Linked DNA regions of Xenopus tropicalis. The main gene of each other region encodes a partner of the protein of the gene in region 3 in a complex. Links are inferred from orthologs where the notes say so. Each region holds a gene or a part of one and is shown on either strand. Other genes may lie near its edges. The genes, in order: ap1g1, ap1s1 and ap1m1.

Region 1 (3,652 bases), on a different chromosome or scaffold from region 3:
GGCACTGTGTGGAATAGTGCATGTTTTTTCACTGATGTGATCAAAAGGTTTTTAACCACTGCCAGCACCACCCTAGTGGTTAGTAATAATAAGTAATAAATAATCAAGGGTGGATTTCCCCTACTAATGTGAAGTTTTGTATGTTGTAGACCAGCTATGTTAAAATATAAGAAAAGGTGAAGAGCATGCAAAAAGTTCCTGGGGGTGTCCATTATGTGCTGTCATTGACTGTTTGTAACTCCTATGTGGACTGGCAACCGACAAGGCTCTGTTTTGCAGTATTCAAGTTTTTCATGCAACTAAATCCTGCCTTCAAGCCAGGAATTAAAAAAATGAGCACCTACATGGAGGGAACTGACAGCAACATCAAAGGGGAGCAACATGTTGCTCGCGAGCCACTGGTTGAGGTTCACTGTTACAAACTTAAGGTGGCCATACACCGGAAGATTTGCTTGTTTAGTGAGGCCGCCAAGCGAGCAGATCGTCTCCCGATATGCCCACCTAAAGGTTGGCAATTTTAGGCTAATTTGATTGTTTGGCCCTACTGACATTTGCCAATGCAAATGGGGTTGTTTGAGTTCCCTGCAGTATATTAATACCTTACTCTTGGTGTGATGATATTTGTTGATTGACCACAACTGTACAAGTGTAGTCCAAACTCCTTAGAAATAGTTTTAAAGCTTTTTCCAGCCTTGACAGCATCAATAACTGTTTTTCTGAGGTCTTAAGAAATCTCTGTTTAAGCCTTAACACACAGCCACAAACCCAGATTTCTCTAGATAAGGCAGAGCATCACATGATAATTATCCCGATTATCATGCCATTGTTTAAAACTCAAATATCCCCTTCAAAGGAACTGAGAATTCTAGAGGGCCACATACTTTGCCAAACACACTTATGTAACTTTGGATCATTATATGCATTGTGTTTGGCTGATTGGTTTAACTTGGTTCTCTATACATAGTTTTAGGACTTGCATGAGACAGATCATCTTATAACTCACAATATATGCAGAAAAAATGAAAATCCAAAAGGGTTCACAAACTATTGAGGTCCACTGTATATTTCTGTTGTGGCCACCTGTTATTGATCAGGTCTTTTATTCATTCAATGGACTCCCCATCATTTAAATGCTGCTTAGAGATCCTCTTCCACCAGTGGTAAAACAACACTCTACGAGGCCCCCTTCGGCATATCTTTGGAGGGCTCCCCCTGTTCCCCAGGCCTCCCTGCGACTGCTTCCTCTATAGTTATGCCGCTGTCTTCCACTTTGTCTGTCTTTTCATTCACTTTTGTTTACCATCTGCCTTAGTTTCATTCTCAATGTGTTTTTTTTCATTGGAGGTCATCAGCCTCTCTTAAACATTTTTGAGAAATGGTAAATGTAAATGTGAAGAATGAAAAAAAAAATTAGAAATGTAGGAAAGACCGTCCAGGGCTGTTCCAAGTGGATCCTCAAAGGCTTGATTGTTAAGGCCTTATTAGTTGCTCTAAAAAGTGTCATTGTTTAACATCATAATTTTAAAGTGGGACTAAACACTCCTAAACATATTCATGTAAAACTGCCCAGAGAGCTTTTCAGAGCACTTTAACAATTTACTTTTTTTTTTCTTCACTTTTCGTTATATATTAGCAGTTTTCTACTGTCCAATCAAAGACACAATAGATATATTCTCAATAAGCCTAGCCGTGCTTTCACATAACCATTTCAAGCACTTTTCTTTTTCTTTCTTAAACAAAGCCATAGGTCTCTGATTTTTAATCCTCCCATCCAACTTGCTCTGTTGCTGTGCTGTTGCTTGGCAGCCTATGTTAGTCTGTACTTGAGTGACTCTCTTGCATACTTTCTGCAACCCCTCTGACCTTTATTACAATTCTTTCACAGTAGCTCAATCACTAGGGGGCTTGTGCTTTAGTATTAGTGGAATGGTAATTTATTCTGGCATTTTGGGACATGTATAGTTGTGCCAAAATAAGGAAAATCTGTTTTGTCACGATTAACTACCGAATTAAAAACTGACACTTTGAGTGGTTCTTTAGATATTTCTGGGTAGCTTAAAATTACCTTTTGTTTGCAAAACATCTTAAAATATCAGACCTTTTGAATGTGACAGCTATCTAAAATATTTTCACATCAGAGCACCCACATGCATGCTCTGCAGATCAGTGTCCCTAATTGCTGCTTCCTGTCTTTTATTCTGTTTGCTTGGGATCCTGCTGAATGGTAGAATGAAAAGGTAAGACTTCTTCTTTTGTATTTCACTGTTGTTTCTGCCCTAGATAGTTGATCTATTGAATGAATGAAATCACTCTCCACAAGTGTAACTTATTTATCAGTCTTTTTAGATATTTTGTAAAGCTAAAAACTAGCCTCCTTTACCACCCCTGTCCCAAATTAAAAAATAACAGAACAAAAACTTGATTTACTGAGGGATCCATTGTAAATCTTGTCCTTCCGTGGCTTATACTCCTAAACCATAACATTGTGCCTGTCGTACTGAATCGTATTACCTTGATCTCCATACACACAACCCAATCTGAAGTTTACAACTAATGCCTACTTTGTAGCTTTAGTCACTCTGTCTGTTGTGGTCAGATTTGTGTTCTGGTGGAAATATAATGTGTATTTGCTTTGAGAGCAGACTGATCCACATTGATATAAATTTTAGCTTTTTGAGATAAAGTTTTTTGAGTCTATCAAACCTTTTTTTTCCCCCTCCAGCTTGTCCCCCAGTTAGTTCGTATTCTTAAAAACCTTATCATGTCCGGGTATTCTCCAGAACATGATGTGTCTGGGATCAGTGACCCCTTTTTGCAGGTGAGTGTGGGTATGTGTTTAAGCTCAGTGACGGTATGAAGCATTTTTATTAAATTCTAAGAGGGACCTTGGTTACCTAATAACTGTTTTTTTTTTTTGTTTGTTTGTTTGCTTGTTTTTTGGACTGTTTAAGGTTCGGATATTGCGGCTTCTCAGGATATTAGGCAGAAATGATGATGATTCAAGTGAAGCCATGAATGATATTTTGGCACAGGTAAGCAAGCAAATGCAGCTCGGTCGATAATAAACTTCTGTATTTTTGCCTGGTATAGCAGTTGATTAAAAGATTTGTTTTTGACTGAATGGACTTACAAAAGTGTAGTATTGGTTTGTTGATTTGTGGATTTTGTGTGGAACGAGAGTAATAGTGCTGTGTGTTCTAGATGACGCACTTCATCAGTTATATAGTTATTTTCCTCTTGTGCTATTGTTATTTTTTAGGTTGCAACCAACACAGAGACTAGTAAAAATGTCGGCAATGCCATTTTATATGAGACTGTCTTAACAATCATGGACATAAAGTCAGAGAGTGGTCTACGGGTATGTGTCACATCAGATCTGATCTTTTGCTTAAAATCACTTTTCTCCCCCCTTGCATAATAACTGCTCCTGCAAATAGACCACCATTGCCTCTTCTTTCTGCATTAACCTGTGCAAATCCCCTTTTCTAGCTGTTCTAAACCTTTAGGCTAATAGTACACAGGTCGTCTTTATCTGCTAGAGTTTATATGCCAGTTGAGAAATAACAATCTGCTGCCGTCTGTTCCCTGTATGTGAGTCCTCTGACATGTTTGGGATTAACTTTTCACACACAGACAGCAGAAACTGCATACT
Region 2 (3,752 bases), on a different chromosome or scaffold from region 3:
TGTGTGGGTCGATCCGACCGCTCCCAACCTGAACCGGCTTCTTCCCTGTGTTTATATACCTGCACCCACCCATCATGATGTTAGAAAAGGGGCGGAGCACGGTGGCCACGCACCTCATGGTTGCCAGGTTGGTGGTTTTCCCTCCAAATTGGGCTACTAATTTAAAGCCCTGGCTATATAAGGTACAAACCCGCCAAGGTACAGTTTTGGGCTATTTTTTGGAGCCTTTGGCAAGTTTGTAGTTTGGAAACTAGCCAAAGTTTTTCCACCCTAGTGTGCCTGTTCCACTGGATGCTGGGTAATGTAGTTTGTATCTAACAATTAGCCTACAGCTAGGATTAATATAAAACTACAATACCCAGCATGCAATTGGACAGTATAGACAGAGGCTCCCATTTCTATTCTATTCAGGCTCAACCTGTCTGCCCTACACCCTGCCCCCTGCTCTATAGGGTATGTGATTGTACTGTTACTTTCTACTGGGATGTGGGGCAGTTCTACCCCCTGCTCTATAGGGTATGTGATTGTACTGTTACTTTCTACTGGGATGTGGGGCAGTTCTACCCCCTGCTCTATAGGGTATGTGATTGTACTGTTACTTTCTACTGGGATGTGGGCAGTTCTACCCCCTGCTCTATAGGGTATGTGATTGTACTGTTACTTTCTACTGGGATGTGGGGCAGTTCAACCCCCTGCTCCCTGCTCTATAGGGTATGTGATTGTACCGTTACTTTCTACTGGGATGTGGGGCAGTTCTACCCCCTGCTCTATAGGGTATGTGATTGTACTGTTACTTTCTACTGGGATGTGGGGCAGTTCTACCCCTGCTCTATAGGGTATGTGATTGTACTGTTACTTTCTACTGGGATGTGGGGCAGTTCTACCCCCTGCTCTATAGGGTATGTGATTGTACTGTTACTTTCTACTGGGATGTGGGGCAGTTCTACCCCCTGCTCTATAGGGTATGTGATTGTACTGTTACTTTCTACTGGGATGTGGGGCAGTTCAACCCCCTGCTCTATAGGGTATGTGATTGTACTGTTACTTTCTACTGGGATGTGGGGCAGTTCAACCCCCTGCTCCCTGCTCTATAGGGTATGTGATTGTACTGTTACTTTCTACTGGGATGTGGGGCAGTTCTACCCCCTGCTCTATAGGGTATGTGATTGTACTGTTACTTTCTACTGGGATGTGGGGCAGTTCTACCCCCTGCTCTATAGGGTATGTGATTGTACTGTTACTTTCTACTGGGATGTGGGGCAGTTCTACCCCCTGCTCTATAGGGTATGTGATTGTACTGTTACTTTCTACTGGGATGTGGGGCAGTTCTACCCCCTGCTCTATGGGGTATGTGATTGTACTGTTACTTTCTACTGGGATGTGGGGCAGTTCAACCCCCTGCTCCATACTCTATAGGGTATGTGATTGTACTGTTACTTTCTACTGGGATGTGGGGCAGTTCTACACCCTGCTCTATAGGGTATGTGATTGTACTGTTACTTTCTACTGGGATGTGGGGCAGTTCTACCCCCTGCTCTATAGGGTATGTGATTGTACCGTTACTTTCTACTGGGATGTGGGGCAGTTCTACCCCCTGCCCCCTGCTCTATAGGGTATGTGATTGTACTGTTACTTTCTACTGGGATGTGGGGCAGTTCTACCCCCTGCCCCCTGCTCTATAGGGTATGTGATTGTACTGTTACTTTCTACTGGGATGTGGGGCAGTTCTACCCCCTGCTCCCTGCTCTATAGGGTATGTGATTGTACTGTTACTTTCTACTGGGATGTGGGGCAGTTCTACCCCCTGCTCCCTGCTCTATAGGGTATGTGACTGTACTGTTACTTTCTACTGGGATGTGGGGCAGTTCTGCAGTTGATCCCATATATATATCATCTCTGGGGTTAATGCAACATTCTGAATCCATTTCTGTAGTGACTTCCCAGCGGGACTGGGCACAGAGGGCAGGGAATTAGCAAGGTATGGAGCCAGCCCACACATCACTATCGGGGGTAATGTTTAGGAGCGGGTAGGGAAAAACTTGACTAGAGAGCAGGGATTTATAAGTGAGTGGGCTGGGGGAGGAGTCAGGGCAAGGGGGTGTGGTTAGGCTGGATAAATCAGTTCTATGCTTTTTCCAAGGGGGTCCCACACAGGAGCTGCACCAGGATTGGCTGAGCAGCCTTAACCTCGCCCCCCACCCTTCCAATTCTCATGCAGCTTTAAACAGACTAAAACTTCCCTGGCAAACGCGCAGCACTACGGGAAGCAGCAGGGGACAGAACATGCCGGCACCCCGGCTCCCTTCCCAAGCCCACAGCACCGAGCCCGGCTACTGTAACTAAGCGCAGCCCCGCCCAACACTCCCGCTTGCCCTGACACGGTACCGACTGGCTACTTACACCTCCCGCAACGCTGTTCCCCGCAAGCTCCCGGCCTCCTGTCTCCCAGCAAATCCCGTTTCCTCACGCGAGATTTGCGGCGTCATGCCTGTACGTAAGGGCTGTGACGCTTCACGTAGAAACCTGAGGGCGGGGCTCGGTGCGTCTATAAAATGCCTTGTACCTTGGCCGGCTTGTGTAGTGTATGTAGGTATGCCCAGGCGGTTTGTCAGAGAACTGCAGGAGGCTCCGCCTCCTTAATTGATATAAATCCCGCCCACTGGTACCTGAGAATGGAGGCGCCTGGTTATCATTATACCAATGCATTTAGCAGAGCCGCCTCCTGTGAAACGCACTGCCTGCTCCCCCTCCATATCCCCCATTTCTCACCATCTTGCTGCCTGTTCTGTACGCGGTGACTCCTTATGCTGCGGCCTGCCCCCCAGGCCGCCGTCCCCGGCCTCTCGTAGCTGAGTGTCCGGAGCCGCTTCCTCCTCCTCCCCCGGCCTCACCCATAAGGGCGGAGGGAAGTACACCTGCCGCACATGCACACTGAGGCGGTTGAGGCAATGCCAGCTTTCCCTCCCGGTATCCATGGTAACGGGCGCAGACATCAGGTGACCCCGGGGCAGGTTTGGGCGGGCTCTTACCTGCGCTACGTGTATGTCCCTGAGCTGTCAGGCAGAGGGAGGAGCTTGGGGCATCTCACAGGAAGTGCCTGGCTGGGAAGTCAGAGATAATGCTGAGGGGAAATACATTCACTGCTGTCATTTTGCTCCTTATTTAATTTTTAATAATCACTTGCTCTTGGCCGCCATTAGCAATCACGGGGCCCCTCCCATCAGTACAAAGGACACACAGACATTAAAAGTATCAGGGGCCCTCAATTACCCCTATAGACATTTCCCCCATACACAGTGGCCCCCCATACACAGTACCCCCGATTGCCCCCTTACACAGTGCCCCCATACACAGTACCCCCAATTTCCTCAATACACTGCCCCCATACACAGTACCCCCAATTTCCTCAATACACAGTGCCCCGATTGCCCCCTTACACAGTACCTCCAATTTCCCCAATACACAGTGCCCCCCATACACAGTACCCCCAATTTCCCCAATACACAGTGCCCCCCATACACAGTACCTCCAATTTCCCCAATACACAGTGCCCCCCATACACAGTACCCCCAATTGCCCCAATACACAGTGCCCCCCATACACAGTACCCCCAATTGCCCCAATACACAGTGCCCCCCATACACAGTACCTCCAATTTCCCCAATACACAGTGCCCCCATACACAGTACCCCCAATTGCCCCAATACACAGTGCCCCCATACACAGTACCTCCAATTTCCCCAATACACAGT
Region 3 (3,752 bases):
AAAAAATAAAAATAAAGGCACTCAGCAAATTATCTTAGAACATCACTGCATCATATGAAAGGGTCATTTAAACGTGACCTACTCATTTAAAGAAGTAGTAAGCCTGACATAGAAGAAGCTTTCTGGGAATGTACAGAGAAGCAGAAGCCAGTGTGCAGCAGCAGTTTTTTTTCAGTTCCCATACATAACTTGCCTGACTTACTGTGCATTCCCAGAAAGCTGCCCTCTTCCACTATAGAGAGCTGAACAGGAAGAGAGGCAGGGCTTCATGCTGTACCAGGAAGAAGAGGAAAAGAGCTGGAGATTTCAACTTATAAATCAGAAACCAGATCAGACTGAATGCAGGGACTAAGGTAAGTTATTCTGGGGGTTGTTTAGAGTCATTTTAAGACAGAAAAAAAGGTTTACCAGAAGCTTTATCAGAAATGTCTATGTAAATACAGCAATAAACACTCACAGAAACACTATACTGACTTATCTGTAAAAAGATTAGCTGTGTCTGTTTTCCTCTGCCAGAGACACACAGCTTTCAGCTCTCTCCTCTCTGCTGCTCCCCTGCTCCCCTCCTCCCTCAAGAATGCTAAGAACTCACCCCCCCCTTAGGAATGTGGATCTGAGCCAATCAACAGGAAGCTGACTCATAGTCTTACTAACTGAGCATGTTCACTTGGTCTGGGTGTCTGTGCAGGAGTGAGGCATTATGGGAACTTTACACAGCTCAGTGTTTTTTCTTCCTGTTTAGCTTCTGATCATCTGAACAGGTGAAATATGGGGAGACTTAGGGGCACTATTGAGAGAACTGAAGGTATGCCTGCAGCTTGAGATTAACTCTTTATTAGCCTTTCCTTCTCCTTTAAGACAAACCCAGTTGCAGTTATTTGTATAATACAAATATCAGTGTACCATCCATAACAGAAAGATAGCATATACAAGTATTTTTAAGTGGTTTATAATAAACAAAAATAAAACATTTGAAAAAGGTAGGCAATAAATATGTAAACTGTGGATTTATAGAACACATTCCTGTCAGTCCTGTTCAAAAAACCACAACAAGCTTTAATCCATTTTCTAAAAAATAAATCTGTTCAAACAGGTCCCAGTACCATTTAGATGAAACACAGCAAATGTGGATATAAAGTAGTCTTTGGATCCAAGGTTATAGGTTGTAATTTCTGGGAATGTCTAGGCACCTCCCCCCATCATTTTTTTTACTTTTTTGTGCTCTACGGGCTAAACTTCACTATATCTGATCCAAAATTAAATTAGAACTGATGGAGATCAGATTTTGTAAGATCCAACAAACTCTTGTGCTGTTAAGTCAGACAGAATCTGACCCACAAAAACTGATCATAAGCACTCCTGGAGTTTACCCTAACAGCTTGGATTTGGTTAATAATAACCAAGAGAAAAATATGTTGAGTGATAAAAATGCTTAACCCAAAATGCTGAACCTGGAGTATTGCAGGGATGTGTTTCACAGACACAAAGTAGTTAGATAAACATAAATCAGGTAAGATCTAGGGAGAATGCTACTTTCTGTCATAGGTACAGCAGAAAGCCAATCTTTAAGGCCACTTGGGGTAAGAGTTGCTCTCCTACACTATGGCTGTGCGACTGATAATTTTTTCCTATATCTGGATCTGGATCCCCACGAGGCTCTTGTTAAGCTTAAAATGTCTGAAAACCAATGATCTGAGGAAGTGATAGTGATGTACACATAGATATTTAATGAACAGATCTGTGCCAGGGTTTTCTGTACTACTGATTTATAATAAAAACTGCTCAGACAGATCCCATGGCTATTTCACTAATGAGTAACATTTCAGGCAATCCTTAGCTTCTGACCTTCACACAGTCCTTTCACATGTAGGTAAGGTTTGGCACACAAGTAAATCGCACACAGGGGCACCTGCTGCTGCGCTCACACAGTGTTATTAACTCCGGCTCAGTAACATAGAAGTGGCAGCTGCCGGCCAAACGAGCAGCAGGCAGAGCATCTCATACAGGGAGTGGAACGTATTGGGTGGTGGCGATGTACAATACGAATACCACATTTATAAGGTTTGGTCAGACATGCATCTAATCGGAAGAGAAATCATGCCACTCTGAGAAGGGCCTGGCTAGCTACAATCGAATTCAGCGACCTTCAATGATGAAACACATACACAATCTGTCATATTCAAAGAAATAATGCTGTATTGTCCTAATATTGCTTCATTTCATCCGCCTTGCTCATACAGATCAGAAACGTTCTATTCGGCACCCTAACACTACAACATGGCCCTGCCAGCCCCGCTCTTGGTGACCAGCCCTGCCCGCATTCATTATCCGAACGCTCACCTTCCCTTTCAGGTCTAGCACATATACTGCGCTAGCCGACATCCTTACGGCCGAAGATAGTCCTGCAAAGGCAAGCCAAGCTGCTGCCCACTAGCCCAAAGCTTCGTTATCCTCAGTCCTCTCACAATACCATCCCCGTTATCCACCTCGATAGCGGTCCGCTCAGAGAGGAAACGCAATGTAACTTCCGGTTAGCCCTGTCATAGAGACTTAACATTCCCTTACTAAGATGGCGGATTTAGTCAAAAAGCGGGTCCTTCCATAGTCGATATTTGTGAACGGTCTAAACATGTCTCCACACAAAAAATGTGTGAGACGTCTTATAGAAAGGCCATTAATTGTTTTACGGCTGACAGATTGAAACAATTCCTTGCGTTACTATTTATTCTTGGCCATATTGATTCACGCGAATCAGATTGCACGGACGTTCTACTACATTTGGCTTTTATGGAAGGAAGCCTTTGTAGTAAAGCTTGCGCTGAACGTACTTTTTGCATGTTGGTATGATATGAAAAATCTGTTTTTTTGTTCATTCTTGAGAAGACACAGCAAAAACAGGGAAACTGATTCTGTTCCATGAAGGAGATAATTTGATTGCCCATGTACAGATTATTCCCCTGCATGATGGACTCCTGCGAATAAAACACAATGGGCGAGGGAGGGGGTTGAATACTGGTAATGAAATTATCTACCTGGCATGAACCAAACATGGAGTAGCTTCTGTTTCTCTGTTTACCCCAAGATATATAAAAAACCACATAGACTTTACATAATTAAAAATAAAGATACAAAGTATGTTCAGCACAAGCCCTGTTCATTTAAAGAAGAGGGTTTACTGACTCATGTTTGTCACTGTGTATGTTTTATTTATTAAAATGTTTATTTCTCATTGTACACTTCCCATCCTTTACAAATGTATATGCTCTGTATATACTGTAGCACTGTATAAATAAATGTACATATATATGCATTTGATTTGTCAAACAGATTATTGCTGTTGTATAAACATAATAATTCACATAATTATTATTTACTAGCAGGTCTTGGTTTTAGCTGGAGTGTATTTATCAGAGGTGGCCCATAGGCGACCTGGCCAGCCACCTTGCCCCACCACTTCCCCCTCTACCAGGAAATCCACTGTGGGGGTAAGAGATCCCGGACTAAGGGTTGGCAACAGAAGTACCTGCCCTAGACAGGTGCCTCTTCCGCCTACCCCTAGTTCCGGCCCTGGTATTTATTATCTGTGCTGCTGTGGTCAGTCTTAGCTAATACATGTTCATAAAACTCTCCTAAAACCCTGCCATATACAGTGTGGGACTGGCCTGCCATGGTAGAGGGAGTTGTCCCAGTGGGTCCTGGTGAGTGGTTCCTGAGACCATTCTGCAAAGCAAAGCATTAACTCTTTTCTACCT

The links.
Region 1: the proteins of ap1m1 (region 3) and ap1g1 are in contact, whole or in part, in a cryo-EM structure (PDB 7R4H), measured with the Mus musculus proteins. The link is inferred for Xenopus tropicalis from reciprocal best matches to the Homo sapiens genes AP1M1 and AP1G1. Residues at the interface, in NP_031482.1 of Mus musculus: Ser289, Asn318, Asp319, Ala320, Asp321, Ser322, Trp334, Pro336, Glu337, Asn338, Ser339, Gly361, Leu362, Pro363, Ser364, Val365, Glu366, Ala367, Glu368; in NP_001288140.1 of Mus musculus: Arg24, Glu25, Gln28, Lys29, Ala32, Arg35, Ser36, Arg39, Glu40, His64, Phe65, Gln67, Leu68, Gln97, Val99.
Region 2: the proteins of ap1m1 (region 3) and ap1s1 are in contact, whole or in part, in a crystal structure (PDB 1W63), measured with the Mus musculus proteins. The link is inferred for Xenopus tropicalis from reciprocal best matches to the Homo sapiens genes AP1M1 and AP1S1. Residues at the interface, in NP_031482.1 of Mus musculus: Lys12, Glu31, Asn186, Asn188, Val189, Leu190, Glu232, Glu234, Asn270, His272, Arg421; in NP_031483.1 of Mus musculus: Lys26, Lys30, Arg33, Glu34, Gln37, Lys43, Glu51, Trp52, Arg53, Asp54.

The regions. Positions count from the first base shown.
Region 1 is NC_030680.2:59,348,139-59,351,790, forward strand, and holds part of ap1g1 (AP-1 complex subunit gamma-1), read left to right. Parts: intron 1-2,228; coding exon 2,229-2,237; intron 2,238-2,722; coding exon 2,723-2,818; intron 2,819-2,951; coding exon 2,952-3,032; intron 3,033-3,259; coding exon 3,260-3,358; intron 3,359-3,652. UniProt on the Homo sapiens protein: Subunit of clathrin-associated adaptor protein complex 1 that plays a role in protein sorting in the late-Golgi/trans-Golgi network (TGN) and/or endosomes.
Region 2 is NC_030679.2:143,417,726-143,421,477, reverse strand, and holds the start of ap1s1 (AP-1 complex subunit sigma-1A), read right to left. Parts: upstream 2,442-3,752; 5' UTR 2,401-2,441; intron 1-2,400. UniProt on the Homo sapiens protein: Subunit of clathrin-associated adaptor protein complex 1 that plays a role in protein sorting in the late-Golgi/trans-Golgi network (TGN) and/or endosomes.
Region 3 is NC_030677.2:98,838,315-98,842,066, reverse strand, and holds the start of ap1m1 (AP-1 complex subunit mu-1), read right to left. Parts: upstream 2,616-3,752; 5' UTR 2,383-2,615; coding exon 2,341-2,382; intron 1-2,340. UniProt on the Homo sapiens protein: Subunit of clathrin-associated adaptor protein complex 1 that plays a role in protein sorting in the trans-Golgi network (TGN) and endosomes.